5 linked regions of the Rattus norvegicus genome follow. The protein of the gene in region 1 binds, or shares a complex with, the protein of each later gene. Links are inferred from orthologs where the notes say so. Each region holds a gene or a part of one and is shown in the gene's direction. Other genes may lie near its edges.

Evidence for each region.
Region 2: Smarca5 (region 1) and Dek share a complex: the UniProt entries of both Homo sapiens proteins name them as parts of the B-WICH complex. The link is inferred for Rattus norvegicus from reciprocal best matches to the Homo sapiens genes SMARCA5 and DEK.
Region 3: Smarca5 (region 1) and Rsf1 share a complex: the UniProt entries of both Homo sapiens proteins name them as parts of the RSF-5 ISWI chromatin-remodeling complex. The link is inferred for Rattus norvegicus from reciprocal best matches to the Homo sapiens genes SMARCA5 and RSF1.
Region 4: Smarca5 (region 1) and Mybbp1a share a complex: the UniProt entries of both Homo sapiens proteins name them as parts of the B-WICH complex. The link is inferred for Rattus norvegicus from reciprocal best matches to the Homo sapiens genes SMARCA5 and MYBBP1A.
Region 5: Smarca5 (region 1) and Sf3b1 share a complex: the UniProt entries of both Homo sapiens proteins name them as parts of the B-WICH complex. The link is inferred for Rattus norvegicus from reciprocal best matches to the Homo sapiens genes SMARCA5 and SF3B1.

The regions. Positions count from the first base shown.
Region 1 is NC_086037.1:44,182,117-44,187,916, forward strand, and holds part of Smarca5 (SWI/SNF-related matrix-associated actin-dependent regulator of chromatin subfamily A member 5), read left to right. Parts: intron 1-98; coding exon 99-199; intron 200-1,560; coding exon 1,561-1,661; intron 1,662-2,321; coding exon 2,322-2,501; intron 2,502-3,749; coding exon 3,750-3,905; intron 3,906-3,985; coding exon 3,986-4,117; intron 4,118-5,800. UniProt on the Homo sapiens protein: ATPase that possesses intrinsic ATP-dependent nucleosome-remodeling activity.
Region 2 is NC_086035.1:17,784,505-17,790,988, forward strand, and holds the start of Dek (protein DEK), read left to right. Parts: upstream 1-2,634; 5' UTR 2,635-2,730; intron 2,731-2,844; exon of another isoform or gene 2,845-2,978; intron 2,979-3,087; 5' UTR 3,088-3,096; coding exon 3,097-3,247; intron 3,248-4,491; exon of another isoform or gene 4,492-4,637; intron 4,638-6,484. UniProt on the Homo sapiens protein: Involved in chromatin organization.
Region 3 is NC_086019.1:161,413,920-161,419,719, forward strand, and holds part of Rsf1 (remodeling and spacing factor 1), read left to right. Parts: intron 1-830; coding exon 831-1,066; intron 1,067-2,108; coding exon 2,109-2,297; intron 2,298-5,185; coding exon 5,186-5,754; 3' UTR 5,755-5,800. UniProt on the Homo sapiens protein: Regulatory subunit of the ATP-dependent RSF-1 and RSF-5 ISWI chromatin-remodeling complexes, which form ordered nucleosome arrays on chromatin and facilitate access to DNA during DNA-templated processes such as DNA replication, transcription, and repair.
Region 4 is NC_086028.1:57,552,734-57,559,228, forward strand, and holds the start of Mybbp1a (myb-binding protein 1A), read left to right. Parts: upstream 1-2,724; 5' UTR 2,725-2,740; coding exon 2,741-2,932; intron 2,933-3,036; coding exon 3,037-3,132; intron 3,133-3,733; coding exon 3,734-3,817; intron 3,818-3,901; coding exon 3,902-3,976; intron 3,977-4,065; coding exon 4,066-4,173; intron 4,174-4,870; coding exon 4,871-5,046; intron 5,047-5,136; coding exon 5,137-5,304; intron 5,305-5,412; coding exon 5,413-5,530; intron 5,531-6,123; coding exon 6,124-6,419; intron 6,420-6,495. Other genes in the region: Ggt6 (glutathione hydrolase 6), read left to right, coding at 1-330. UniProt on the Homo sapiens protein: May activate or repress transcription via interactions with sequence specific DNA-binding proteins. Repression may be mediated at least in part by histone deacetylase activity (HDAC activity).
Region 5 is NC_086027.1:63,990,616-63,996,415, reverse strand, and holds part of Sf3b1 (splicing factor 3B subunit 1), read left to right. Parts: coding exon 1-135; intron 136-216; coding exon 217-328; intron 329-2,778; coding exon 2,779-2,899; intron 2,900-3,569; coding exon 3,570-3,701; intron 3,702-5,800. UniProt on the Homo sapiens protein: Component of the 17S U2 SnRNP complex of the spliceosome, a large ribonucleoprotein complex that removes introns from transcribed pre-mRNAs.

The DNA.
Region 1 (5,800 bases):
TAACTTAGATGCCTGTTAAGATTATTGTGATATCATCATTTGGCTACTGTGTTCAAATAAAACTCATTATAAATTGATTTTTGTTTTCATTTTGACAGCTACCGACATCGTAGAACAGAGCAAGAGGAGGATGAAGAGCTATTAACAGAAAGTTCCAAAGCAACCAATGTTTGTACTCGATTTGAAGATTCTCCATCATGTAAGTTAAATTCTTTGAATCATTTGATTTTTTCCAAAGGAGCCTCCTTTGAAAATCCCTTAGTTATTGTTTGAATTTACTTTTCCTATAATTTATATAGAAATTTTTAGTAATCGTGGATAGTTACTGGCTTTGAATAAATATTAAGTGTATTTTTTTAATCTGAGATGTTAATATATTGGTTGGAGTTATATAGCTATAGAGTGCTGATAGCATGTGGATAGCTCTGACTTTGATCCCTAGAGTTGAGAGACAATAGTATGGTACATTTCAGAAGTATATGAAGATGCCATTCAGCTTATTAGGGTTCTAAAATCCATGTAAAATGGAATGACTTTTGCCATACACTTTTCCCAAATTAGGAAATGTTATAAAAGGGGAAAAATCATGAAAAATAATTGCTTTTATTGATGATGGATATTTTTGTGAAATGTATTAGTGCTTTTCTATATGAAAACAGCTTAGTTTTACTTATAAATAATCTTGATTTGTGATAGGGTTATTAGAAGCTTCTATAATCTTCACGGAAGCCTAGTTTTACTGCAACTCCTGTTATTTGATGAGTAATTACTGTGGACAACTAATGGTTTTAGTTGGAGTCCTGCTTAGCTAGACTATTGAACAGTTTACTCACCCACTGGACCACTTTTAACACACACTTTCCTTTCCCCCGGCCTTTTCTTTTCAAATCAAGCTAGAGGCCAGAGCTACATGTATAACAAGCTGGAAAGGAAATTCAGGTTATTTCTGTCTCCAGTTGTAACTCGTGTGCCCAGTCCTGATGAGCTTTTCATTCTTAGGCAGCGATTTATCCCGGGAAGTACAAGTAATGTCTGTGTACTGAAGGACATGGGTCCTTATGTGCCATCTATCAGAGAACGGACTTAAGGAATAGAAAGGGTGGACTTGGAAAGAATTTCTTGTCTTTATTTCCACTCTCAATGGGGAGAAAGGAAAATCTTCAGAGAACTACTATCTGATCTTTATGAAGATGAAACCACTCGGTTAAAAGTGTGCTAACAAAAAAGAGAGGGAAAGAGGCCAGAGATACTCTGAAGACCAATGTGGTTTAACATTGGATTGAGTGATTTCGATGAGTTACTCTGATGCTAGTAGTTAGAGTTCCTCATCTGATAGCTTCACTATCAGTTACTTGTATCAATTACCCCTTCTTCAGTCCAGATTTCATTACCTATTTTTAATGACTTTCACCTTGCAGAAACCCCATAATATATGTATCCTCTAGAAAGGAGAAGTAGACACCTATAGGTTCCAGTTAAACCTCTGAATATCAGATAAAAGACAGCCCTATCTTATATTTCTTGTCCTTAAAATGAGCATTGTGTGTTGTTACTTTTTAGATGTAAAATGGGGTAAACTGAGAGATTATCAGGTCCGAGGATTGAATTGGCTCATCTCTCTGTATGAGAATGGCATCAATGGTATCCTTGCAGATGAGATGGTATGTATTTGCTAATCTCAAAGCTTGAAGATGTTTGTGTTCTTGTTGTTGTAACTTAAGATAGTTTGACTAAATCTGTAGCAGAAGAGAGATGGATAGTTTGGCTTGATTATAACTATTTTTTCCTTAAAGCACTATAATCCACTGTTTTAGTTGCGTAAGTGACGTCTTCACGTGTGAAGAGTTAACCATCTCTGCACTAGAGTAAATTTTAAAATAATGCATTTTGATAACTTTCTTGTTTTTGCAGTATTTGACTGTTTCTTTCCATTTATTAAAAGTCAGCTCACAGGGTTTAGTTTCACAGAACACCGTATCTTCTGTTCATGACTTACTAGTTATTTAGTGAAGACTTTAATCCTTCCAAAAGTAGTGCTTAAACAATTGGTTGGGGTAAGTATGCAGTCAGATATATCTCGCTCCTGCCTCTGATTGGTTACTTGGGGATGTCGCGTTTTCTGAGTCTTGAGGTGATGTTGATACCTTCCTTATAGACTTATGTGACGTAACTGTACACTTACACAGTAGTCAATCTCGTCATAGTTCTAAATGTTCCTAAATATGATGGGTCTATAAGTGTGGAAGGGTGTTTTTAATTGTTTAATTTTTAATTTGACTAGTGCAATTAAATTCTTTAATGTTGAATTATGAATTTTTTAGGGTTTGGGAAAGACTCTGCAAACAATTTCTCTTCTTGGGTACATGAAACACTATAGAAATATTCCTGGTCCTCATATGGTTTTGGTTCCCAAGTCTACATTGCACAACTGGATGAGTGAATTCAAGAGATGGGTGCCAACACTTAGGTCTGTTTGCTTGATAGGAGATAAAGAGCAAAGAGTAAGTATTTATACTATTAATATTTAATGGAATTTAAATTTAGACTTAAGATGAAATAACTGGAGAAGGGATTAAAAAGGATTGTTAGTAATTTATGACTATACACTACTTGTGGTTATTCAAGAATCTTACTGAGAACGCTTTAAAGACTAAAAAGCTAAATGAATTTCTTAATTTTATTTTCAGTTTGTTTCTCCCCTTGGAAGTCATTGTATAAAGTCCTAGATAATTTATTTGGAAATATTAACTTGTTTTTTTTGAATATGTTAAACCATTAGAAATTTGAGGGGCCAGATTTCTAGATTAGGGTACAGTGGTAATAGTCATAGAATAGTAATTGTTAAATATGAGTTGAGTCAATTTAGTAATTTGGTGAGCTGTTATATACAAATATGAGTTAAATTATTGACTTCCGGGCCACATCTTTTTAGGGCAAAGTCATGGCAATAACAACACTATTAAGAATAAAGAACTTAGATTTGGAAGTTGGATATAATCAAGTGTGTTCATTGATTAAATGATTATATTAAATGATTTTACACTTAATTAGTTGAGGTTAGTTTTTTTAAATATTATTTTATATTTATGGGTACTTTGCATGCATGTTGGTTTCCACTGAAGCCAGAAAAGGGAGTCAACACCTCTGGAACTAGAGTTAGGGATGGTTTTGAGCCACTGTGTGGGTGCTGAAAACTGAACCTTAGTCTTCTCTAAGAACAAGTGTTCTTAACCCCCGAGTCATCCTCCAGGAACTGTCTAGAGTTCTTTGCCCCTCAGTAGGTAGATTATGTGGGTTATTTTAAGTTACCAAGTTGCTTTTTTGTTTGAAGAAGTCAGCTACTTCTGCGTTTTAACTTCATATCCTTATCTATAAAATAAGAACAATAACAGTAATGTGTTAATATATCTACAAATCAAAAGAATGAGACCATCTATTGCCAACTGTCAGTCTTCCTTTATCTTACAAACCCTGCTTCCTAAGGATGGCAAGACCTGGTGAACTGTAGAAAGATAGTTTAAAGTTAGGCCATGGAATTTTGTGATTCCCTTCAACCTTTTGAAACTAAGTTAAACTGACTCTGTGGTGATAAGGAAGTAGTTTCAGTGGTGAGATGGTGGTGAGATGGTGGCTTTGATGTTCATTTAATGCCTGCTGTTTATTAGACTCCTTCCTTCCTTGGTTTTGATTACTTAAGTGAATTTAATGTATAATTGACTTGAGTGGTGTAATTTTTTTTTTCTTTATAGGCTGCATTTGTCAGGGATGTTCTATTACCAGGAGAGTGGGATGTATGTGTCACATCTTATGAAATGCTTATTAAAGAGAAGTCTGTGTTCAAAAAATTTAACTGGAGATACTTAGTTATAGATGAAGCTCACAGGATAAAAAATGAAAAATCTAAGGTAATTTGATACTTAATATGAACATTTTTTTGTGTCTGAGTGATTCAAAATGTTCTAATAATGGGCTCTGGTTCTTTCAGTTGTCAGAAATAGTGAGAGAATTCAAGACTACAAACCGACTGTTGCTGACAGGGACGCCTCTTCAGAACAACCTGCACGAGCTCTGGTCCCTGCTAAACTTTTTGTTACCAGATGTGTTTAATTCAGCTGATGTAAGCTCTTTTTGTGGTTAATAATATTTTGGTTAATGCCTATATTTTAATAATAGTGCTGTTTGATATGGCTATTAACTTTTTCATACATATGTAGCTAGCCTATTACTAAACCAGCATAGTATTCTGAAAATTCATTCACTTTTGAGTCTTGGCTTAGCCTTGGCTTTAAAGTCATTTCCAATCAGTTTCTTCATCTGAGTTAGCAAATTCTTCTTTTTGGCAATCAAGACTATTTAATTTTAACCTTAGGGTCTCTAGGTTAAAGTCTTGTTTTTAAGCGTTTTCAAGTATCTTTGTATATTTTATACATTGTGTTTTAACATTCAGAGATGGCCTTCAAGTGTGGAGGGATTTGTTTAACTTTTTGTTTTATTTTCTTTTTGTGTTACTGTGGCAAAATACTTTGACCAAAGCAGCTTAAGGAAGAAGGGTACTAGGGTCAGGTGCTGGCAATAGCTGATCTGGGGACTAAGTCAAGGGTACTAGGGTCAGGTGCTGGCAATAGCTGATCCTACTTTACTCACAGTCAGAAAGCAGACAGTGCGATAAGTGTATCCCACTGCTCAGTTCCCTTCTTTATTCTGAACAATCCATGATTCCCAACCCAGGGAACAGTCACACAACTTAAGACGGGTCTTACAGCACATACTGCAGTCAACATAATCACCTACTGCTGTTTTGGGGGGCCCAGCTCTGGGCTAATAGAATACTAGGATATGACGTTGACAATGAACAGTGAATATCACACCCATCTTTTATTATTGTGTAATAACCCAGTCTTTACCTCTAACAATTATTTACATAGTAGAAATGGTGACATAGTTACCTGTTTGCTGTGTGACAGAAAATAGTTTATGTATTCATAGTCTACAACTACAATTATAGTTGCCAAACTGGAGTTCAGATTTGAATGTCTGTTCCTACATCTAGAGTGGGTGGGAGACCTTTGTAGAGATCCATGTTAGTACATTTATGTAAACAAATTCTCTAAAGGTATTAATTTGGTTTGTTACATTAAGGGTTCTTTTCTTTTTCTTTATCTATTTTTTTGAGACAGAGTTTCTGTGTGTAGCCTTGGCTATCCTGCTCATTCTGCAGACAGGGTTGGCCTCAAACTCAGAGATCTGCCTGCCTCTGCCTTCCGTGTGCTGGGATGAAAGGCCAGCCAAGAGTTATTTTACAAAGAACAAAAATGTGTGTGGAAAAAGCACATTCAGTTTGAAAGTTTTATTAATTCTTTTAAATACTTTGATGTTTTACAGATAGTTTCAAGATTATTTGTTTTTCTTGCTGGGCTAACATTTATTTAATGATATCTGTTAAAACCTTCAGTTATAACAGTGATTGTAAGATGTTTATTTAACATAGCAAAATTCATAATAGATTTTTTCAGGGTACTTGATAAGGAAATTGGCTTTATGCAGTTCTCTAAATAGTAACAAAATGCTTTTTATCTCAAGTTTCACTTAGATTCATGATATGAACATTTCTCTGGAAACCTTGAGTTGTATCTTCTAATTACTTCTGTAACCTAGCTTCCAGACTCTTCACTGTGAGTTTGTGTACTTGTAAAAAATGCTTAGGGAGCCATATGATTCAGCGACTTGTTCTGGAGCGAATAGTAAACCTGAGAGTGGTACTATATTAATTTTAGAAACAATTACTACACTTGAAGTTATA
Region 2 (6,484 bases), on another chromosome or scaffold:
GACACAGGGCCCCTTTGAACTATGCTTCCTTATACTCAGTGTAAAGCCAGACTCCTGGAGAGGGGCTGAATTCACCTTTGATCCCCACTCCTAGACACCTTCACACCTACTACCTAACAGAGGCCAGCTCTTCCTGGTCAGAGAATATGGTTCTACCCAATGGTCAATCACACCTCACCCAACTGGTCACTCTCTCTTTGGAAGAAGTCACTTGGTTTCTGGTACACAGTTCTGATTCTCCTCCATCACTGGCTACTGTTGCTTTATAGCTTCGCAGCTGGCTTTCCTTCCTCTCTCAAACCCACAGACCTGTAGCATCCAGAGGTTCAGTCTTGAAACTGTCTCTCTTTGTTGCTTGAATTAATCTCTCAGCACTACCTTTGTTCATCCTGTGGGTGACGTCATCCAGTGTGTGTACGTGTGTGGGGGGAGGGCTTTATAGGACAACCACAGGTTGACAGCTGCTAAGTCTTTACTGTGAGTTACTCCTTGCTTCTTCCTTTGAACCCTAGACACTCACATCCAACTGCTTATGTTATGGTTTGTATATGCTTGGCCGAGGGAGTGACACTGTTAGAAGGTGTGGCCATGGAGTAGGTGTGTCCCTGGGTGTGGGCTTTAAGACCCTCATCCTAGCTGCCTGGAAGCCAGTCTTTCACTAGCAGTCTCCAGATGAAGATGTAGAACTCTCAGCTCTGCCTGCACCAGGCCTGCCTGGATGCTGACCTGCTCCCACCTTGATGATGATGGACTGAACCTCTGAACCTATGAACCTATAAACCAGCCTCAATTAAGTGTTGTCCTTTACAGGACTTGCTTTGGTCATGGTGTCTGTTCACAGCAGTAAAATCCCAACTAAGACAGGTTATTTTAATTTCCGCTTTGGTGATGACACATCTCAATCTTCTAACATCTCTAAAACAAAGTAAGTTCAGACCTCCCACAAGCTCCTCCCATCTCCTTCAACCTTCCTTCTCCCAATCCAACTGTCTGAACAAAACCAGTCTTCACTCTCATCCTCTTATCCCTTATTTCCCACATCCAGTAACTTAGATAACCCTTTAGAGCACACCCATACTCTTGTCTCTCATTGTAAGGGTTTTTTTTTTTTCAAGTGTCATTTTATTAACAAAACTTCCTTTAATCATTGAGCTTTAATAAGAAAAGCTCCCTTGGCCCTCTGGCAGCCCTGTGGTGAGGGACAGAGGACTTAGTACTTATAAAGCAACAATTGAGAATGGTATCAAAACAGTGATGGCCTGGAGGGAGGAAAAACACTTGGTCAGAAATAAGTGATGGAAAGGATCAAGTTCACTGAGGATTAATAAGAAGAAGCAACCCTGGCCATTGAAGTGTAAAGACCAGATAGTATGAATGACAGCCGTGTGCAGGAACCCGAGGTAAGGCTTGTGTGACTGAATGGCCAATCATATCAGGGAGCTATCAGACAGTCAGTAGCCGCATTATGTAGCATCTTACACATTTTCATACGGAAATTTGAGGGTTATTCCAAGTTATGATGCAGCCATCTGAGGTTTTAAGCAGAAGGTCAAACTAAATGAAATTGCTTTGGCTGGGATGTGACTAGTGGGAGGAGGCTTTGCTGCAATCCAAACTTAACAATGAGCAAAGAAAGGTGGGCAGAACCAGTAGACTGGGAAATGGCCTAAGATCTGAAAGCAGAAATAGCAGGACTTTGCTTCTTCTAAAAGGGACGCAGAAGAGGATAAAGTCTAACTTTTGTCCCGCAACTTGGGAGTCTATCATGGCAAATGAAACCAACCATATTTCCACCAAGTTGACTGGATTAAAAAACAAAACAAAACAAAACGAAAGGGTAGGGAAAGATCATTCGGGCAGCTAGTGTTCTCAGGGTAAGAGAGAGAGTACGTGAGGAGATATTGTTTTTAAACTGTGGACTCTAAAAGGATCACTGGGTTTGCCTAGAATTCTTGACAGGAGAGTGTGGATTGGACAAATATTCTATCTGCATTACAGGGGAGACCAAGGGGGAGGGAAAGGAAAAGAATGATTTGTCTTACATTCACCGGTTTGAAACCTATTTATGTCGCTGGTGGTGTGAGCCCTTAACGTGGTGGTGGGTCCTTGTCACGGTGCAGCGTACTGGCGACGCGAAACCTCACAAGTAGGTCACACTTGGGAGCCTTCATCTCGAACGAGCTCTAGGAGACGAACGTGGAGGCTCCCGGTCAACCCGGTCTGTAGGGTGATTACTGTAGGGTGAAGCCGTGCGGGGAAAAGACTTCTGCGAATCCCTCAACTTCGCCACCTCCAGCCGCTCCCCGGCTCCGCGGGCCCAGGACAGCCGGTCATTTTCTCCAGATCGGGAGGTTAGAAGCTCGCAGGCCCCCTAGCGTCCGACCGTTCAGCGCGGAGGCCCCGGCTCGCGCCCGCCACCCCGAGCACCCACCCGCCGGGCGTCGCGACCCGGTCCTGCCGCGGACCGCAGACCCCTCCCGCCCCCGACTCCTCCCGAGCAGCAAGAGGGAGACGACGACGCCCGCCTCCCGCGCCCTCCCGCCCTCCCTCCCGCGCGCGCCAACTCCCAGCGCAGCGCGCTGATTGGCCGGCGCATTCCCGCTCTGCTTCCCGAACCGCCATTTTGAAAATCTTGTTGATTCTGAGGAACCGAGAGCGAGCGCGCGGCTTCGCGAGGACCTCGGCCCGCGCGCCTTCCACTCAGCGGCGGCCTTCTCGTGCGCACCCGCGGTGAGGACCGCAGCAGGGAGGCGCGGCTGCCGCCCCCCGTGGCGGGGCAGCGGGGAGGAGACGCGGCCATAAGCACGGAGGCCTGCCGCGGGGGAGGGGACGGGGCTCGGCTCTGCTCGCCTTGGCCAGACTGGCCTGGCCCGGCCCCGGGCGGCGCAGGCCGAGCGGGAGCGCGCGCTGGCGGCTGAGGGGCGGTGCGGTTTCCCGCCTCGGGCATCCCCGGGGAGGCGGGCGGAGTGACAGATAGGGTAGGCGACTTGGAGGAGAGCTAACACGGGGCGGTCGCTACGCTCCTGCCCGCGGGAGCGAACGAGCAGGCGAGCGAACCGAAGCGTGCGGCTTCTTCCCCGCCCGCAGGCTCCCAGCATGTCGGCGGCGGCAGCCCCCGCTGCGGAGGGAGAGGACACCCCCACGCCGCCCGCGTCCGAGAAGGAACCTGAGATGCCGGGTCCCAGGGAGGAGAGTGAGGAGGAAGAGGAGGAGGACGACGACGATGAGGATGAGGAGGAAGAAAAAGGTGGGCAGGGATGCGCATCCCCCCGGTGGATTTCTTCACATCAAAAGTTACCCCCTCCCCTCCTTTGGGGAGCAGTTATCTTGCTTTTTAATGCTTAGAAGCATTAAGTCGGAGTGGTTGATTTCACGCGATTGCTAACAATTAGTGGTAGAAAAATCTGTGATATCTCCCCCCCCCCCCTCTCTCTCTCCTTTTGAGTATTTGCCGGGGTTTTGGTGCAAGTGTAGCAAGAGTTTTCCCAGTGTGCCTTCAGAACGCTTCGTCGTTCACCCAGAAGTTTGTAAGTCAGATCTGCCTTTTGAAGTTACCCTAACTAAGGTTCAGTAATGGAACTTAACACTACAGGTATTCTTACTAATCCTGGAAATGTTTTTTCATGTCCATATTCTCGGCTCTTTGTATCTGCTGATTTTTTTTCTTTTTCAGTAAGGGTTCTTGGGGGAGCGCTTTTGTTTGCCTAGGGCTCACGGGTGAAAGCTGTTGTTGTTGGAGAAAGTAGTTAAAAAACGAGAAAACTGAACTGAAAGTTAACATGTGAGCCCACAGCTGTCTCGGTTTTGGAACTAATTCTGACCCAAGGAAGGTGGTAAGAAGCATCATTTGAATAGAGGCTGAGCTGTGTCAAGTAGCAAGCATTGTGTCAGTCAGAGCGCATGCTGTTCCTCTACAGCAGTCTTCTGGACTAGTCTCAGCTGCTAGAAGACCCCAGGCACAACTTCACAGTCTCAACTTAATGGTACAGATGGCCACAGCGCAGCCAAACTTGAGAGCAGGCCTAAAGGTTAAAGTGCTCTTCCCAAACTGCCACTTCTTTTCATAAATATCATCTAGGTTAAGAGTTCAAGGCGTACTTATTATTTGAAGTGGTATGTGCCCTAAGACCTTTTGGGGGTGTGTCATTTAAGTACAGCATTGGCTCTAGTTATAAATTTTAGTAAGAATTGTTTCAATTACTTTTAGGTTATTTATAATTGGTGTTTTATAAAGTCAGTGATATGTACGTATGTATGATGTAACGGGGGGACGTACCTCGGTGGGTCTATGCTAAGACATCCCTCCTCCCTGAGGTACCAGCCCCCCCATGCGTGTAGTATAAAGTAGTTTATTTGGAGGCATGAGAAGGGGAGTTAAGAAAGGAGTAGAGAGAGAGACACAGGCCAGGAACATAGGGGGAAGGGGGAATGGGAGAGGAAAAAGGGGGGCAGAGAGTTAAGAGGCCAAACAGACCCTTTTATAGCAAGCCAGGCTTACCTGGTTGTTGCTAGGTAACTGTTGGGCAGGGCCTAGAAGGAATGCTAACAATAATGTAATGGCTAAACGTTGACTACAGTAGCTCAGTGTAGCTAAGACTTCAACTTCCTAGAGGGGCAGAGTTGTGATTATAGAGGCGGTGAGTTTTCTTGGGCAGAAAGACATTTCGAAGTTGGATACAGAAGGCCCAAACAGTAATGTTTGCGGAGGCTGGCAGTGAGTGATGCATAAGACCCTGGATTTTGTTCTAGCTGAATAAGTCAGTTGTGCGTTTAAAAGTGATTTTTGTAGGTTTAGTCCTTCACGGTTTTAGAGTTTGTTCATAATTACTTAGTAATTACTTAGTTTTCTCTTTGGGGTGTTTGGGGTAACTGGAATTGCAGGTTTCTGTTCTGCTTGTCCCAGAATGCTTACCTTCAGTTTAATGACAGAAAGATGTGGGGACAGTGAAATTACTGAAGTCTGTGACGTATGGCAAGAATTGGAAGTGGTTCTGGGGAGGTGAGAGTCAGAACTGTGGCTCTCAGCTTTCCTCTGTAGGGTTCGGATGATGATGCTGTGCTGTAGAAAAGCAGGTGGGCCAGCTTGGCAGTGGTCCTGAGTCTTTTGGATATATTGTTTGGGTTCCTGCAGGACATAGTGGGGCTTCAAGGTTACAGTGGGGTGTGCTTTACTTAGTTTGAAAGCTCTGTTCCAGGGTTAGATCACTGTGAACTTACTAATATCCTGATCCAAAGCAAGTGAACAACTTAGGACTAAGAGGAAGCTGGGTGACTATAGGAGCTCTTCGACTCACTGCTGTCTTTCTCCATTTATTCTTTGCAACTCTATATCCCCCAAAGCTGACCTATCTTGGAAAGCCTACATGAATGCTTTGATTCTTTTTTCCTTCCCAAATAATAATCCCCCTTCAGCTCACAAAAATTTTTGTTTTTAAGATTACTTTTATTTCCTTTATAGGGGTGTTTTGCTTGCATGTATGCTTGTACACCAAGTGCTTGGCCTGGTGTCCTTAGGGGCCAGAAGGTGCCTGATGCCAGAAGGTGGAGTTAGAGATGGTTCTGAGCTGCCTGCCATGTGCTCCCTATCTAAACACTGGTCCTTTGAAAGAGCAGTGAGTGCTCTTAACCACTGAGCCATGTCTCCAACCCCTCACAAAGCATTTTGTATCTTTTATTTATTGTGTGTGACTAGCAGTGGTGGTGCATGTGGAGGTCAGAAGAGAAATTCAGGGAGTCATTTATTTTCCACCATATTCCTTCTGGGGCTTAGCTCCCCAGGTGTTAGACGTGGGTCACCAGAGTTGGCAGCGAGCACCTTTACATGCTTGGCAGTCTGGCTAGCCAGGCTCACAAACTTCATATGTGTTATCTTTTCTCTTTCCAAAATTGAATGTTGAATCTAGGGACTTGGAACAGTCTAGACATTTTATCATTGAGCTATACCCTTATCCCTTAATTGTATTTTTCTTAAAGATATTTATCATATTTTCACTAAGCGGTTTTTTATTTTCCTAGTCGAAATTTCAAAAAAAAGTTTAATCTCATTCTTTTGAGTATCTGGTACAATTTGAACACAATAGACATTCGTTTGAATGAAGAGAGGACTTGCACAAAATAGTTTTTTATTTGACTAGATTTCAATCAATAAGTAAGTGGTCTTTAATAACTATAACTTAATGTTTTAAGCTTTATATACCACATATTTCCTGGGGTTTTCTTAGAAGTCTGGGCTGACAAGTACTTAACTTTCTCAGAGTGACTTATAGACACATGAGCATTGTTATTAAACAAAGTAATGTTCAGCCAGCTGTCTTACAACAGGTACCAAAATACAGTTAGAGGAGAAACATGCTCTAGAGTTTATAGCACAGTAGGATGACTACTTGGTTTAAATAATTTACTACATGTTTGTATGAAAATTCAGACGATTTGAGAGACCCATGACAAAATAAAATGAGATTGAAATACAAATTATCTCTTTACA
Region 3 (5,800 bases), on another chromosome or scaffold:
TGGTAGCCTTACACCCAGAACATAACAAAGAACAAAATCACTGAGTGTGGTTTTCCTTTTTTCTCTTCTTTTGTCATGCATATAAATTTGAACTTTGTCCTGAAAATGGCTTTTAAAAATATCCAGGGGCTGGGGATTTAGCTCAGTGGTAGAGCGCTTACCTAGGAAGCGCAAGGCCCTGGGTTCGGTCCCCAGCTCCGAAAAAAAAAGAACCAAAAAAAAAAAAAATATCCAAAGATTGAGGCATGAGGTGAAAGGGAAGAACTCGACTTAAGTATAAGACTCTGGCTTAAGGGACCAGCTGGATGAGTGAGTCAGGCTAGAGCTGAGCTGCTAGACAGACTGTTAGCTACCCATGCCTGGCAGCCTTCTCTTCAGAACCATGTAAGGGCGGAAGGATAGAGCCAGCTCTGCACGTAGTCCTCTGAGTGTGCAAGCACGGGCACTCTGCTCTCCCCACAGTAAGTCAGAAAGTTTGTATTAAAAACATCAGACTGGCCAACAGAAGAAGAGTAGTCAGTTGAGAAATAACGAGCCTTTTCAGATCTGTTGGATTTAAGACGTACCCAAAAAGGTCAGTGCAATTCATATGTGAATTACAGCATTTATTTTCACATCTTTTACAATGAAAGGAACAGGTGGTAGAACATTAACTTTATAGATAAAAGTTGACATAATTGTCCAAATATATCTTCAAATTTACTTAATGTTTTACTGGATTCTTTACAAATTGTGTTTGGAACTTTGAAAAACTGGTTATCACTTCTAAGTACCATAACAAGACAGACTCTAAGTGCACCGTCATGATGTGTCTGGCTTCTCCTGGACAGATCTCAGGATGAGTTTGTTGTGTCTGATGAAAATCCAGATGAAAGTGAAGAAGAGCCACCATCCAATGAGGACAGTGACACTGACTTCTGTAGCCGAAGACTGAGGCGGCATCCTTCTCGGCCAATGAGGCAAAGCAGGCGTTTGCGGAGAAAGACCCAAAAGAAGAAGTACTCCGATGACGATGAAGAAGAAGAAGAAGAAGAAGAAGAATCTGAAGAGAATAGTAGAGACTCTGGTAAAAATGCCTTCTGTCTGTATCAGAGCAACTCGGTTACTTCTGTGACTTCTGGAGTCACAAGGTGTTGAAGTCATTCAGCTGTGACATAAGCGTCCTGATGAGACTCTGAAATCCTTTTCTTATGACTTGCTAGTAGTGTATTACATACAGAGCTTTCTGAAAAATTTCACACAAATTAATTAATGTTTCCTTCAAGCCAAACTCTTTTAGAATGATAAATTGTGATAAATCCTTCTGGTGCCACTTATTTCTGAGAATATTTTCAGATGTTAGAAAGTGAATAACCAGTTAACCCAGTACACAGCAGGACTTCTTAGCTTTTCTACTCACAACATTTATTCCAGAGAAGGTTTTACACGACTTCTAGTACATACTCAAACATTGACTGATAATAAAATCCTAAAAATATTTTCTTTTTTTAATGTTATTTTTTTCCATGCATTGGTTTTGTGTCTGTGGGGGTATCAGATCCCCTGCAACTTGAGTTACAGACAATTTTGAGCTCCCACGTGGGTGCTGGGAATTGAACCCAGATCCTCTGGAAGAACAGCCAGTGCTCTTAACTGCTGAGCCATCTCTTCATCTCCAAATAAGTTTGTTTTTAAAGCAGTTCTTTAGGTCTAGACATGGTGGCCCATGCCTCTAATACCAGAAATTGGGCAGTAGGTAGGAAGGGAAGGAGAGAGGGAGGGAAGGAGAGAGAGAGAAAGAGGGAGGGAGGGAGGGAGAGAAGAAGGAAGGAAGGGAGGAAGGAAGGAAGGGAGGAAGGAAGGAAGGGAGGAAGGAAGGAAGGAAGGAAGGAAGGAAGAGAGATCTACCTGTCTCCGCCTCACAAATGCTGGGATGAAAAGTGTGGACAATCATTGCCTGGTTCTGAATATTATTTTAAAAGAAAATCAGATTTATATATCTTAATCAACTAAATTTTTACAACTAAACTCTAGTAACCTTGTATTTTTATAGCATAAGCTAAAGTATACTTCTACCAATGGATTTAAATTTTGTAATTTTTTTTTAATTCCCTTTTTTTTTTAAACAGAAAGTGACTTTAGCGATGATTTTAGTGACGAGTTTGTAGAAACCCGGCGAAGGCGATCAAGAAGGAACCAGAAAAGACAAATTAACTACAAAGAAGATTCGGAAAGTGATGGTTCCCAGAAAAGTCTCCGACGTGGTAAAGAGATCCGGCGAGTTCACAAGCGCAGACTTTCCAGCTCAGAGAGCGAAGGTAAGTGGTATCCTGTGTGGGGAGCAGGGCATAGCAGAAATGGACGCTGCCTAGAAAGAAATGTGCTCAAGCTTTACTTTACTTTAAAATGCATACAGTCGCTGATGTCATTAGGATGAAACAAGTTTCATTCTCCTGTTATTAATTATAATTGAAATAAATGACTCAATAGGATACTAATTTTTAAAGGTTCCATTGTATGAAGTTTTCATACAATGTGATTTACTCTGCTCCTTTTTGTCTTGTTCCAGTTTGAAATAACTTCCTATGTACTGAGTAGTAGCTAAGCTCTTTCAAACCAAATTACCTATTGTCCTTCTGTAGTTTCAGTATTTTATCTGGGATCGCTTTTATGTAATAACTTGAGTTGTGCTATATCAGAAGTGTTTAAAATTGTTCAAAGCATTCATAGCTGGGCAGTGGTGGTGCACGCCTTTAATCCCAGCACTTGTAAGGCAGAGACTAGTGGATCTCTGAGTTCAAGGCCAGCCTAGTCTATAGTGTGAGTTCTAGGACAGCCAGGAATACACACAAAAGAACACTGGTCTCGAATACCTCCCTCCTCAAATTCATTTGTTGTAGAGGTTGCTTGGTGCTTAAGAGAATCTCTTGCTCTCCCAGAGGGCAAAGTCTAGTTCCTAACAACCACAGCAGGCAGCTCAGAACCACACATAACTCCCAACTTCAAGGACTCTGATGCCTTCTGATGTTTACAGGACACTGGCACACACAGACACACATGCGAAGACATAAAAATAAGTAGATCTTTAGAAATGTTCAATAAGAACTTATGACACCCACTTCATTGTTAATTTAGACCCCTAAGTTCATTTTGAAAGATGCTGACTCTTTTTAAGCATTTAATCTTTCATTGTCTATTTATGATGTGCTTTGAATATTGCTTTTACAAATTAAATGTGAAGTAAATGTTTGAAAGTATGAGAACAGGAAAAATGTGGATGTAGGAGACTAGTTCTCTTGTCCTCTGAAGGAGGAGTGGCCCTCATAGGTGGAATGCCTACCTCAGAGTCTGAGATGACTGCCCAGCACAGTCAGGGTTACAGAAGGAAGGTCAGTCAGGGTTGTTAATACTGAGTGTGTCATAAAGATGTCAGCTACAGTGTACTTGGTGACATAAGTAAGCAGTGTTGCAGATCGGGTTTTATTAGAAGATGGTCATGTCTGCATATTTACATATTGTCTATGCCTTCTTTCCTAAAAAATGAGTAGTTGAGATAGAACACGAGGTCTCACCTACATAAATAAATACACTCTCAGATCATCTCAGAGCTGTCTTGCTTATTTTCTACAATAATTAGACTATTCTGTGTTAATGCTGATTAATTCAGTAATACTATCCTCATGTGGCTGTGGAACACTTGAAATTTAGCTGGCTTGAGCATGGAACTAAGTGCTATTTAATTTTAATTAATTTAAATTCATCACACGACTAGTGTCTATTAAGCAAATGGGCCATTGTATGGATTATGAGTTTGCTTTGTGTGATATAGGAAGTGCAGTGGAGTAGTTTGATCTCATGTGGGTTCTAGTTTGCTAGAGTACCTATACTATGAGTAGATTAAAGAGGGGGGAAAAGACAGTAGCTTGGAGAGCAGGAGTCCCAGTCTGAGATGATGGGTGTGCAGCTAGGTTCATACTTGTAAGAGGGAAAATCGTTATGGATGTTTGTATTTTAAAATTTAACTTTTGTGTGTGTGTGTGTGTGTGTGTGTGCACGTGCGCACACACGCAGTACATGGGTACTTTGTATCTATGAATGCCAATAGAGGGCAACAGATCCCCTGGAACTGGAATTACAAGTGCTCATTGTTCCTTTGCAAATGGGTATCAGGAGTAGCTTGTGCTCTTAACTGCCAAGCCATTGCTCCAGCTTTCCAAGGATCATTTTGTTTTAGACCAAAAGCATTTACTCTTTGTTGAATGAGAAATCAAGGTGAACTAAGCTTTAAGAACCAAACTGCTGCAAGGCCTTTAGGAGCTTTTTTGTTCACATTAGATTTAAGACGACTCTTTAAATACCCAAACATACATGCTAAAGGCTAATCTAGGGCTGGAGAGATGGCTCCATAGTTAAGTGCACTGACTGCTCTTCCAGAGGTCCTGAGTTCAATTCCCAGCAACCACATGGTGGCTCACACCCATCTGATGCCCTCTTCTGGTGTGTCTGAAGACAGCTACAGTGTACTTGTATATAATAAATACATTTTTTAAAAAAAAAGCTAATCTAGAATTTAGTTTGCCTAAACCAGGAGCCTCATCAGTTTGTAAATGTGTGTGTAGCCCAAAGACTTGGTGAGATGACTCACAAACCAAATACAGATCACAGGAGGACATTCACAGTTCACAGTTTACCAGAGGATGTTGCATCCCCTAAGAGTGCACAGAGTGATTTTGCCTAGTGATTTCTTTTTGGTTTTTGGTGTTTTGAGAAGGATTTAATATAACCCAAGGTATCCTTGAACTTTTGATCTTCTTATACTTCCCAAGAATGGGGATTATAGGTATGTGCCACCTTCCTTCAGTTTAATCTTTCCTTATTAATTTGTGTGACTCCTCAATTTTAGGACTAAGGGAAGGAGTTTCCCAGATGGTGGCCAATGATCTTCCCTTAATTCAAGAACCATCACATGCCCCTCTTCTTTGACTCCCCCAAGAAATCTACTCTCCCCTAAAATCAGAAGTAAAATACACAATGGATATCACTAAACATTGTTACAGATGGATGTGGGAGTTCGATTCTATCATATCAGTCAATTTAACAGAGCAGTAGTTTCATAAGAGCTGAGGATGGGGTTGGTATGGGAAAGAAAGTACTTGAATGTGTTTATGTTAACTGTGCCAACAGCTTAAATGTTTATTTATTCTAGAGAGCTACATGTCCAAGAACTCTGAAGATGATGAACTAACAAAAGAATCTAAGCGATCCATTCGGAAACGGGGCCGAAGCACAGGTGAATATTCAGAAGCAGATGAGGAGGAGGAGGAGGAAGGCAAACCATCCCGCAAGCGGCTACACCGGATAGAGACAGACGAGGAGAGCTGTGACAGTGCTCATGGGGATGCAGACCAGCCTGCCCGTGAGAGCCAGGCCAGTGTCCTACCCTCAGAGCAAGAGAGCAGCAAGAAGCCGTATCGGATAGAGAGTGATGAAGAAGAGGACTTTGAAAACGTGGGCAAAGTAGGGAGCCCGTTGGACTACAGCCTAGTAGACTTGCCTTCCACCAATGGACAGAGCCCTGGCAAGGCCATTGAGAACTTGATGGGCAAAGCAACTGAAAAGTCCCAGACCCCCAAGGACAATGGCACAGCCAGTGCAAATCTAGCCCCTAATGGGACAAGTGGTGGACAGGAGGTGGGGGCACCAGAAGAGGATGAAGATGAGCTTTTGCGAGTGACTGACCTTGTTGATTATGTCTGTAACAGTGAACAGTTATAAGACTCCTTTCCATTTCTGTGCTAATTTATTCCACGGTAGCTCTCAC
Region 4 (6,495 bases), on another chromosome or scaffold:
GTTCTTCTCAGCAACCTGGAAGCCAGCTCTGTACCTAGTACCTGGGCCTGTCCACTCATTCTCCGTGGCAACCTAGATGACACAGAAGACGATATGTTGGGGCTGGTGGCTTCAGGGATCCCCAGAGGGGCCAAAGCCATGGCTTGCACCTTGTTCAATCATCTGACAACACCCCAAACCCAACAGCAGGTCCAACATCAAGCCCAACAAAGACCCACAGAAAGCCCTGGCATTTGTGGCAAAGAGGCTCTACTGCAGGTAGTAGTCCATGCAGAACACGCCCAGGTCTCCAGCATCCCTAGTGGCTGCTGCCCCTTTCAGGGGTATTAACAGAGGGTCAGAGATGTCTGGAACCTAAGAGCCAGACAGAGAAGGCCTGGCAGCAATGAATGTATGAAGAGAATGTATCTGTGATGTGTTTGCTGCTCCAACAACCCTGCATCCTGTTACGCTACCTGGTTCTAGCTCTGGCATCCAGGGCTGGTCCAACCACGTTTCCTGGTACCCTCGCTGATGGAATTTCTGGCTTTTTTTTTTTTAAATCAAATAAAGACTTAGAGGGTGATGAAAAAGAGCTTGAGTGCAACTCACCTTCAGGAAAGTCCGGAGGAGTCATCACTCCCTACCTGGTCTTTGGGCAGGGTGGTCCGCTCCATCTTCCACTGGGCCATTCCCTGCTGATCTTTATCAATTGGACTGGAAGTTAATAAAACTCAAATATCCCGGGACAACGTGCCTTCCGTGCTCTTTGGTTAACTTTCCTGTTACCCTTTGCAGCACAGATGATGAACACCAAACACAGGGGGAGGAGCCTGGCCTGGTCTCTTTCAGCTTCCCCTGCTCCAGCCACCTTCTGCTTTCTGGGGTTCCACCTGTGCAAGGTAAATCTCTTAGTTTCACGTGTAGAGCAGACGGCAGGGCAGAGGAGGGACAATGAGTAGGAGATGTCTCTGGGTACAGAAGGGCTGGAACTGGGCTGGCCCTGACCTTATCTGAGATCTCTTGAGTACAACCCTTTAGAAATAGTTCCTCGGGCCAAGGGCAAGAACATCCAGTAGCAATTCTCCTACCGGACAAAGAAAAAGGTAATTCTGATTTAAGGTTTTGAGGGTTTGATTTTTTTCAATTAAAAAAAGCTTTCATCTTGTGTGTGTTGACTACATATATGTACATATACCGCATGCATCTTCTGTCTGAGGTCAGAAGAGGGCTTTGGATCCCCTATAACTGGGGTTACAGATGTGAGTTGCTGTATGGGTGCTGGGAACTGAACCTGGATCCTCTGGAATAGTAGTAAGAGCTTTAACCCAATGCGCCATATCCCTGATCTCTGTAATTTTGTCTTTTTTTTTAATTTTTTAAGATTTTTTTTATTTATTATTATATATGAGTACACTGTGGCTGTCTTCAGACACACCAGAAAAGGGCATCGGATATCTTTACAGGTGGTTGTGAGCCACCATGTGGTTGCTGGGAATTGAACTTAGGACCTCTGGAAGAGCAGTTGTCGCTCTTAACCGCTGAGCCATCTCTCCAGCCCTGTAATTTTGTCTTTTAAGGCAGAGTCTCCCTATGTAATCCATTCTGGCCCAGGCACTGGGTTAGAGGACCACCAACATACTCAGTGAATTGTTTTGTTTTGTTGAGCTGGGGGTCAAATGTAGAGCATTGACATGTTTGCCTGGTATTCTACTTCCATACCATATCCCCAAGTTCAAGCTAGCAGAACTCTTGAGTGGATCATCTTCACTTCTCTGTCAAACAAAACATCCCTAGGTGCAATTATTCCACCGCCTATTCAACTATTTTAGCTTTTATCTTGGTGTCCTTTCTAGCCAATCATCTCCTTTGACTCAAGTCATCACTCACCTTGACCATCTCTAGATTAGCCAAGGTCTCACTTCAGCCCAATTCACTGTCTCTGCACAGGCCGTGCCTGCTCTCAGCCAACAGTTGATCTTTTAAAAATATAAATCAGATGTAAATCCTTCCCTGCACACTCAGAAGAAATTATGAACTCTTGAGCCTGGCCCGGGATCCTATACAGCCTTGCTTCCCAGAACCTTCGTCCTCTTCCTCTTACTGACCTCATTCCCATAAGAGATGAACAGCCTTTGTAGAAAAAATGTCCTTGGCCTGTTCTTTTTGCCCTGGGGGACAATTGAGCCCATCTTGTCCCTCAGCTGTCAGCCCACATGTCAGTCTTGTCATGGTCTCTTATTAAATAGTATCTTAGGATCTATTGAATTTTCTCTTTAATTTCTAACAGGTGATGTTTTCGCGTATTTAAACAGTTAAAGGGCTCCCTCTGCTACATACATTCCTTATTTTCCTCAGAACTGTCATTTTAAATGTATTTGGCTACTTGTTCATCAGCCATCTTTTCCAACTAGAAAGGAAGAGAAGCCACGGCTTTATTCCGCTGAACACAGTAGAAGCAGAACAGCAGTCGCACCGGTGTCTCTGAAAGGATCGCGAGCAGACCCGGGTCTGGGAAGAGATCTTATTACGGCGGTCTACAGAAACTCCGCCAGCGTAAAGGATGAGACCAAAGCTGCAGTTTCTACACACGTGTGCGAGCACAGGTCTCTGCTCCACCCACAGACACACCGAAAAGGCGAGACCGTCTGGGATCCACGCCTAACCTGCTAGGCCCCGCCCCCACTCGGACTCCCAGTGCGCAGGCGCCGAGGCCTGACCTGGAAGAGACTGTCTTTCGAGCCCACGTGTTTGGTTCAGCATGGCGGAGATGAAGAGCCCTACGAAAGCTGAGCCTGCGTCTCCCGCAGAAGCGCCGCAAGGCGACCGCCGCAGCCTGTTGGAGCACAGTCGCGAGTTCTTGGACTTCTTCTGGGACATCGCGAAGCCGGATCAGGAAACGCGGCTCCGGGCCACGGAGAAGTTGTTGGAGTACTTGCGCACAAGGCCGAGTGTATGATGGAGGGTCCCGGGCTCAGTGGCGGGTCTGGATGCAAGGGGCAAGGGGTGGGCCTCTCAGATCACTGTTGAACACGAGGGATGTTCTTTTTTCTGTAGGATTCGGAGATGAAATATGCCCTGAAGCGCCTAATCACTGGGCTTGGGGTGGGCCGAGAAGCTGCTAGGCCCTGCTACAGTCTGGCGCTAGCACAGGTGAGGCGGTGCGTCTGGCAAGAGCACAGTCTCGCTGGGCAAAGAGTGGAGTTTAAGGGTAAGGGGGACCGCAGCTGCTGGGTAAGGAGATATCCGAGAGGCTTCTGAGGGGATGCAGGCATCCTTACATGGGTGGAAGGAAGCGCCCAAACACGGCCTATCTACAACAAAGTCCAGACAGGTGGGAGAGTTAAACACGTTTTCTTTCTGATACACGTTTGTCAGGCGTACTAGCTATAGTTACTGGGAGTAGTGAGTTTTGAGGTTGACTTCTGCAAGGTTGGGTTGCAGTTGATGGCAGACCACATAGAAATTCGTACACCAAAAAGCAATGAAGGCTAACGAGTAGAGTCAGTCTTAAGGCAACTCAGAACAGGATCTGTGGATGGGATGGGGTTTTCCAAGATGTACAGAAGCAGTCTAGGCCTTCTGAAGCCTTAGCAATGTAAGATTTGGTCCCTTGAAAGCGGTAAACTCTTCTTAGCCCTTGTGAGGGACGGGAAGAGTGACCAAGATTATATTGGGGAAAGTGGAAGAAGTTGACTTGGTCTGGTTTGATGTCCCTGGGCCACTCCTGAGCTCTTTTTGGTCTTGCTGGCAGCTGTTGCAGTCTTTTGAAGACATCCAGTTGTGTGACATCCTGGGACAGATACAAGAAAAATACAATCTACAAGCAATGAACAAGGTCCGTGTGGCTCCCAGACAGACAGCCTGCCCCCGAACAGGTATGGGAGGGACCCTGTTCACCTGTGTTTGGATCTTTTTCTAGGCAATGATGAGACCTACTCTCTTTGCAAACCTGTTTGGAGTGCTTGCCCTCTTTCAGTCAGGACGCCTAGTGAAGGTAGGAGCTTTGGGCATAGGGACGGGTTTGGGGGTGGGGAGCAGACCATAGCATTCCCTGCACTTCACCCTCTGCTCTCTGGATACCAGGATAAAGAAGCCCTGATGAAGTGCGTGAGATTGCTGAAGATATTGTCCCATCACTACAACCACTTACAGGGGCAGCCAGTAAAGGCTCTGGTGGACATCCTCTCCGAGGTAGAGAATCCCAGCTCATGCTGTCTCATTGGGGAACCATTGAGAAGATGAGGGTTAGTTACAGCAACACTAGAACAGATGATTTGACCACCATGCAACTGGAGCTTTTTTTCCTTCCTGTCCCCAGTATCTTACATCTGGCCTGTCTTTCAGGGTCACAGCACATCTCCATTCAGTTAGGCACTTTAGATCCTCCATAACTCTCTCTGGTAGCTTTTGTGGGGATAGTGTGGGTTTAGAACCATGCTTGTCAGTGCCTGAATATGTAGAAGGCACCCTGAGTACATTTGCCATAGTTTGGTCAAGCCTGGGTCTGCACTATCTATCCTAGTTGGGAGACCAAGGCAGACTCGTGTCTAGAGTCATTTGCCACTAGCTCATCCCCAATTTGTCCTTTTGGCACAAATGGAGACAGACCATAATTCAAGTGCAGCTCTCCACATAGGGCTGTGTCTATGAAACAGGCTAGTTCTCTTAAAAAAAATAAAAAGAGGAACAATTTTAAATGTAGCCTTTGGGCCAGTTAGCCATCAGTAGGATGCTGGGGTTGGGGAGGCAGTGCTCTCTTATGGGTCTGATGCTTGGCAAGTTGCCTGACTGACTGGTGGTGTATCAGAAGCCCCTGGGTAGAACAAGACCCAGAAGGAGAAACAAGAGCTAGGAGAAGCCACCCTTTCTACCTGTGTTCCCACTCCAGGTCCCAGAGTCCATGTTCCAGGAGATCCTGCCAAAGGTCCTCAAGGGGGACATGAAAGTGATCCTCAGCTCTCCCAAGTACTTGGAGCTCTTCCTCTTGGCTCGGCAGAGGGTGCCAGCAGAGCTCGAGTCACTGGTTGGCTCGGTTGATCTGTTCTCAGAAGACAACATTCCCAGGTTTGAGGAGATTATGAGCGGGCTCTCGCTGGGGGTATCCTGCACTCTAGTCTTCTGGGTGATGTTTACTGAATCCCCTCTGCCTTCCAGTCTGGTGAATATACTGAAGGTGGCGGCCAACTCTGTAAAGAAGGAGCAGAAGCTGCCTGATGTGGCTCTGAACCTGCTCCGCCTGGCACTTCAGGAGAACAAATTTGAACGGTTCTGGAAGGAGGTTTTGGAGGAGGGGCTGCTGAAGAAGCCATCCTATACATCCAGGTGTGTTTGACACTGGTCTCCCCTCTCCTCCAGCCTGGGTAGGACCTGTTCTAAAACCTGGCTAAAAGAACAGGGCCTCTGACACGACTCTATCCCAATCCTCCATAGCTACATGTGTTTCCGCCTACTGGGTGCATCTCTGCCGCTTCTGTCAGATGAGCAGTTGCAGTTGGTGATGCGAGGAGACTTGATCCGACATTTTGGGGAGCACATGGTCGTTTCTAAGGTAGGTGTCTTCCCGTGTGGTTCAGTGCTGCCCACAGGGCCAGGGCAGTGGTGCTTCCTCTGAAGTTCTAATATGGCAGGACTTGACAAGAGGTTAGCCAGTGATCAGGCCCTTTTGTCCTGAGGCCCACTCACCAGCAGGCCCAGCCAGCCATCTATTTGTAACATTGCTGGGGTGGTCACATTAGGGGGAGTGGTTATTGACGCCAGTGTGTTCTGCATTTTGTGCCTGGCACCTGTCAGTCATAGTGGGGGCCCTATACAGAGGGTTGTCAGGAAGCAAGTGGGTTTTGAGCCACAGGTCAGTACTGGTCTATCAGGACCTGAGCCTAAGTTTCCTTTGTGCCAGTCAAACTAGGAAAACATCTTGTCCTCAATCTTTGAGGGAGAATGGGAATCTTCTTGTGCTGGGGATGAACTAAGGGGTCAAGGATAGGCTTTGATGGAGTTGTGGCAAAGTTGGGCTCAGCCCTCAGTCCTGCTGTGTAATTGGAGTGGGGAAGCCCTGGATTTAATCACTAGAGAGAAAGATGGGAAAGTGGTGGCTCCTGCCTCTTCACTCTAGTAACCCAAACTCATGCTCGTCTCTTGCAGTCCCAAAACCCGCTAAGGTTCATTCCAGAGATAAGTGCATATGTGGGTACCTTCCTCGAGGGGTGCCAGGACGATCCCAAGCGGCAATTCACTGTGATGGTGGCCTTCACGGCCATCACCAATCAAGGTCTCCCTGTCATGCCTACCTTCTGGCGTGTCACGCGGTTCTTGAATACTGAAGCCCTGCAGAACTACGTGACCTGGCTGCGGGACATGTTCCTGCAGCCTGACCTGGACTCCTTGGTTGACTTCAGCACTGCCAACCAGAAGAGAGTTCAGGTCGCCTCCTTGAATGTGTAAGTAGCAGGTGTCAGGAGCTTTGAGGGGCCCAAAGCCTTAAGTGGCATGGCTTCAAACTCGGGGCAGGAGAGG
Region 5 (5,800 bases), on another chromosome or scaffold:
AAACGAGTCAAACCATACTTGCCTCAGATCTGTGGTACAGTTTTATGGCGTTTGAATAATAAATCAGCAAAAGTTAGGCAACAAGCAGCTGACTTGATTTCTCGAACTGCTGTTGTCATGAAGACTTGTCAAGAGGTAATCTTTTCTACTAGATGAATCTTTTTTGAACAAGTGGCTTAATGGAAAAGTAACATCTTTAATGTTTCTTTTATTTAGGAAAAACTGATGGGGCACTTGGGTGTGGTGCTGTATGAGTATCTGGGTGAAGAGTACCCTGAAGTATTGGGCAGCATTCTTGGAGCACTGAAGGCTATTGTAAATGTAATAGGTATGGAATTTGCTAGCCATGTGAGGGTTTGGCCTTTTAATTTTCTTTGTGTTTTGAAAACAAAATATAAAGTTGTATTTAGGAGTTTGTTTTTTAATCTTCTTTTCTTGAGCACTTTAGGATTGTCAGAATGTCACAAAAATCTCACTCATTATTGTCTATTTATAGTTTACCTAGAAATGTTAAAGGAGGGCTGGAGAGATGGCTCAGTGGTTAAGAGCACTGACTGCTCTTCCAGAGGTCATGAGTTCAATTCCCAGCAACCACATGGTGGCTCACAACCATTTGTAATGAGATCAGGTGCTCTCTTCTGGCCTGTAGTCACATATGCAGGCAGAATGCTGTACATAAAATAAATAAATCTTTAAAAAAAAAAAAAGAAATGTTAAAGGCGAAATTTAGTACAGAAATTTAAAGTACAGAAATAGTTATAGCCCAAAATGTTTTGAGTTAATGGGAGAGAAGGCCCTAATAGAACTAGTACATCAGCTAAAAAATAATCTAGGATTTTCTATAAGGGAAGGCGCAGTCCTGAGGGTGCAGTTTTAGAAATTTTTTTTTTTTTTTTTTTTTGGTCCTTTTTTTCGGAGCTGGGGACGAACCCAGGGCCTTGCACTTCCTAGGCAAGCGCTCTACTACTGAGCTAAATCCCCAACCCCTAGAAATTTTCTTTATCTACTCTCCTATGTTTAGGTCTTTTGACTGGTTGTTGAGTTTTTTTGTTTTTTTTGTTTTTGTTTTTGTTTTTTTTTTTTTGTTTACTATGAGTTCAAAGAACTCATACTTTTAAACCATACTTGGTTAAAAAGAGTTATCTGTCTTGTCTTTTATCTGTAATTAAAAACACAAAGGACTGTTGCGTTGTGCAGTATTATTAGAAAAGGGGCACAACCGGTTCCTGAGCGTCATTGCTCCATGCTGGGCCCCTGGTGCTCTCAAACCCAGGAGGTCACTCCCTGGTGTTAGTTCTTGCACTGTAGGGCCATATAACTAACCTTAATTTATCTCAGCGGCGGCTGGCTTCAGTGCGGCAGCACGCCATGTTAACCTAGCTATCTTCTGGCCCCAGCGGTCTCTCCACTCCCATTGCTAGTCACCCTGGCCAGCTCAGAACTCTGGTCCCAGATACCTGGCAACATCAAGACTCAACAAACTGTAACCCAAAAACCAGATTTATATGTTAAATACTCAATGTACAATACATCCACACAATTAACTTACAACCAGTTGATGAGGATGTGAACAGCCCACCTACATAAGATAAATTTGCCTATAGAAATCTACCCCAGCTACCTTGGCAATTGAGGACTACCAGGATCTGGGTCATCCTTCCCAGTCTCCATTTTGATTCTCCCTCTACCTCCTTCTCTCCCTCCCTATAAAAACTTTGTCCCCATCTTATTCTTTTACTGTCCAATCATGGCCTTGATCTGACTCGTGCCAGCCCTCACCTGCCTAATGGCATCAATCTACACAGGACAGTCTCCGGTATGGAGAGACAACTTTTGTTTTCAAGGAATTATGATGAAGGAAACAAAAGGATTTCTGTGTTTAATTGTGTTTACACATAGTGTTGAAACTATGTTTAGGACTGAAAGGGGTGGAAAAGGCTAAGAGTTCATTATAACTGACTGCTGATAATCACCATTTTCCCCCTTTTGGGGAAAGGAATAAGGACTATTATGCAGTATAGAGCTTTGAACTGTTGTATTTATATAGAACCCCCAATATAGCCCAGATTTATACAGACAATGACTTGCCAAACAGTCTTACTCACTCGTGGTTCTCTGATTTGCCAGAATTATAGACTATATTGTTTGTCTAGCAAAGCAGTGGAGAATCAGAGCAAATAATTCTAGTTAGATCAAGAGTGCCTACTAGCTGCCTCTTTCTCTCTTCATAGATCTAATAAATAACACCTAGGTGTGCCCTGCATTTCAGGGAGACTGGAGGTCTGTTTAATTTTGCAGTTACAGGGTATAGGGACCCTTACTGATTTGATCTGATCTAACTTTGGCTTCTGTTGCTATATTTGGCCACAACATAGGCTGTTCCCATATTTAAAAGTAAGTTTACAAATAACATTTCATAAAATCTTTCTATTACTGAGTAACCCTCATTTTTAAAATCACTTTACTGATTTCTTCTTTTTTTTTTTTTTTTTTTTTTGGGGTTTTTTTTTTTTTTTTTCGGAGCTGGGGACCGAACCCAGGGCCTTGCGCTTCCTAGGCAAGCGCTCTACCACTGAGCTAAATCCCCAACCCGATTTCTTTGATTTCTAAATGTAACTAGAAGCTGTTAATATTTTTAAGAATTCTAAGTCCAATTAGAATCTGGAGCTTTTTTATCCACCGGTAGCTTATGAGTTCATATTTTTGCATTGTACTGTAAAAGGAAAAATGAAAGACTGCAATTCAGGTTTTAATAGTTCCTTGATTTCTGTCAAATAGGTATGCATAAGATGACACCACCAATTAAAGATCTGTTGCCTAGACTCACCCCCATCTTAAAGAACAGACATGAAAAAGTACAAGAGAATTGTATTGATCTTGTTGGGCGTATTGCTGACAGGTAAGAAGATTACATAGCAACACCAAGTACATATTTAGCTCTCAAGTATAGACAGTATTTAGATTTAGCAAGATTTCACTTTAAGTGGTAATAGGAAATAGCAGTGTGGGTGTCTTCCTCCCTTACCCTGACTCCCCAAACAGGGTTTCTCTGTGTATCTTTGGCTGTCCTGGATCTCACTCTATAGACCAGTCTGTCTGTAAACAGAGCTACCAGCCTCTGCCTCCCTCCCGAATGTTGGGATTAAAGGCGCAGTATAGTTGTAAAACAAAGTCAGGCTTGCTTTCTTTTCTCTTCTTTTGAGACAAGGTCTGACCGTATCCTTGGCTGGCTTGGAACGCACTATATAGACCAGGTTTGAACTTCGATATGCTTTCTAAGTGCTGCTGAGATTAAAGCTGTATGGCACCACTTAACAAGTCAACCTATTTAAAAGGGTGATAGTAGTTTTCACTTAATATTTAAGATGAGTTAGTGATGATTTCAGAGTTGAATATGCATATTTACTTTGTAAACTTTGATTAGGGTAGGAGGTGCAGATTGGTAGTAGAACGATTTGGCATTCATGGGCCCTGGGCTTCATCCCCAACACTGCAAAAACAAACATCAAAATACCTTGATAACAACCATGTTAATTCATTAATTGCATTTTTTATTTCTTTTAATTTAGGGGAGCTGAGTATGTATCTGCAAGAGAGTGGATGAGGATTTGCTTTGAACTTTTAGAGCTTTTAAAAGCTCACAAAAAAGCTATTCGAAGAGCTACAGTCAATACATTTGGTTATATCGCAAAGGCTATTGGGTGAGTTGTGTTTTTAGTAGGTTATAGTAAACCTATTGATTGGTGTTCGAAAGTACTTCCATGTAGACATCTTTTGAGGCAGAGTATAGTTAGTCATTTGAAGAAAAAGCATTTTATTTAAACACTGACCTGCCTTTTCCTATTTAAAAATATTTTCTTAAATTTTTGATTGAACTCTGAAGGCTTTAAAATTTACCCTAGAGAAGAATAGATATTTTCAGAGGCACATTCAAGTTTTTGTTGGTCTTCTTTAGGATATTGCTTTTTTTTTTTGAGATGGGGTTTATCCATGTAATCTTGGCTGTCCATGGAACTTGGTATGTAATAGACAGACGAGGCTGGCCTCTTAGCTCTTAGCCTGTTTCTGCCTCCCTAGTGCTGAGATTAAAAACATATCAAGAGCATGTACTATCAAACCTGGCTGGAATATTGCTTAAAATAGTAAGGAGTGAGTATTCTGCAGTCTTCTAGTTTCCACAGACTCGTTGTCAGATTGGAATTTGGAATTAGATGGTTGAGAATTGCCGTGTGGGTGCTGAAAATCATCCCAGGCTCTCTGGAAGAGCACTGATCCATGCATCCAGCCCCCCTTTTAAAATTTTTTTTTTCTTTAATGGTTTTTATCTTCATTTGTGTATGTGAGGGTTGTCAGAAGCCCTGGAATTGGAATTGCACCAAGTGCCATCTACCATGTGGGTGCTGGGAATTGAACCTAGTTCAACATATAATATTTCTATATAATTCATATCTTATATTCATTTTCTGTTTTTTTAAAACTGCATTGTTCCAAGACTAATTCATAGATTCATTTGCTTTATGAATTCATTTATGGTTATTTGCTTCATCAGAACTTACCTGAGAGAAGCAGTTATAATTGTAGAAAAAGAGACTACCCATGTGTATTTTTCCAGTGTTCTGATTAGCTTCAGCTGTAAACTGGACACAGCCCAGAGTCACCTTAGACAAGGAATTGCACAGATCACATGGCCTGTGACCATGGTTGTGAAAAGTTGATTCATGTGGATAGTTATAGATAAGAAAGCAAGTTGAGCATGAGCCTACAAGTAAGCCAGTAAGCACCATGCCTGCGTGATTTGTGTTTCAGTTTCTCTTTGGCTCTCTGCCCTGACTTCCCTCAGCAGTATATATACTGTGACCTGAACATAGAAGCTAAGATAGTGGCTGGAGAGATTGCTCTGCTCTTAACAGGTTCTGAGTTCAATTCCCACAACCACATGGTGGCTCACAACCATCTATAATGGGATCTGATTCCGTCTGGCACACAGGTGTATAAGCAGATAGAGCACTTACTTATTTAAACTAAAATAATGAATAAATCTTTTTTTAAAGAAGCTGAAATAAACCCTTTCTTTCTCACATTTCTCACAACTGGGAAGTAATTTCCTAAAACATACCAAAGTCTGTTAAGTTAGGTAACATTCCTTCAGGATAGATACACATCCCTTCATTTCTTGGGAATAGAACTGTTTGTGTCTGTGGTGGTCTGATTGTAAAACAAGTTGCAAATAAGATACAGTAGCCCTAATGTCTCTAAGTGTTAGTACAGGGGTATGTAAAAGCTGGTAGGAGGCAGCCAGAACCAGGTAGGGTGATTGTGCTTAAGGTAACCATGGGCGTGGGGTAATGGGTAGATTGAGGAACAGATTGTATGTGTTTGAGCTAGGAGTCCAGAGTTTTGGATATTCTATCTATAAGGCTGCCTGGCTCTGGAGACCATTTAGATATTTAAATTTCTTTATTTCAAAAAAATTAAAGAGTTAAAAAACTGTTTACCTGAATTAATATTAAGATAAATCTGACAATTTGTATGAAGCTTTTTTTCCCATTTTCCTGGGGTTTTTTCCTTATTTACATTCCAGTCCCCGTATTTCCTCATCCCATTCCTCCTCCCCCTTGCCTCTGAGAGGGTGCTCTAACCCTGCCCCCCTAAATAGACATTGTCCTTCCCTGGGGCCTCAAGTTTCCCACTGTGGCCAGATGAGGCAGTCTCTGCTATATACTGCCAGGCGGGGCCTTGCACCAACTTGCTGAGTCTCTGGGAGCTCCCAGGGGGTCTAGGTTGGCTGAGACTACTGGTC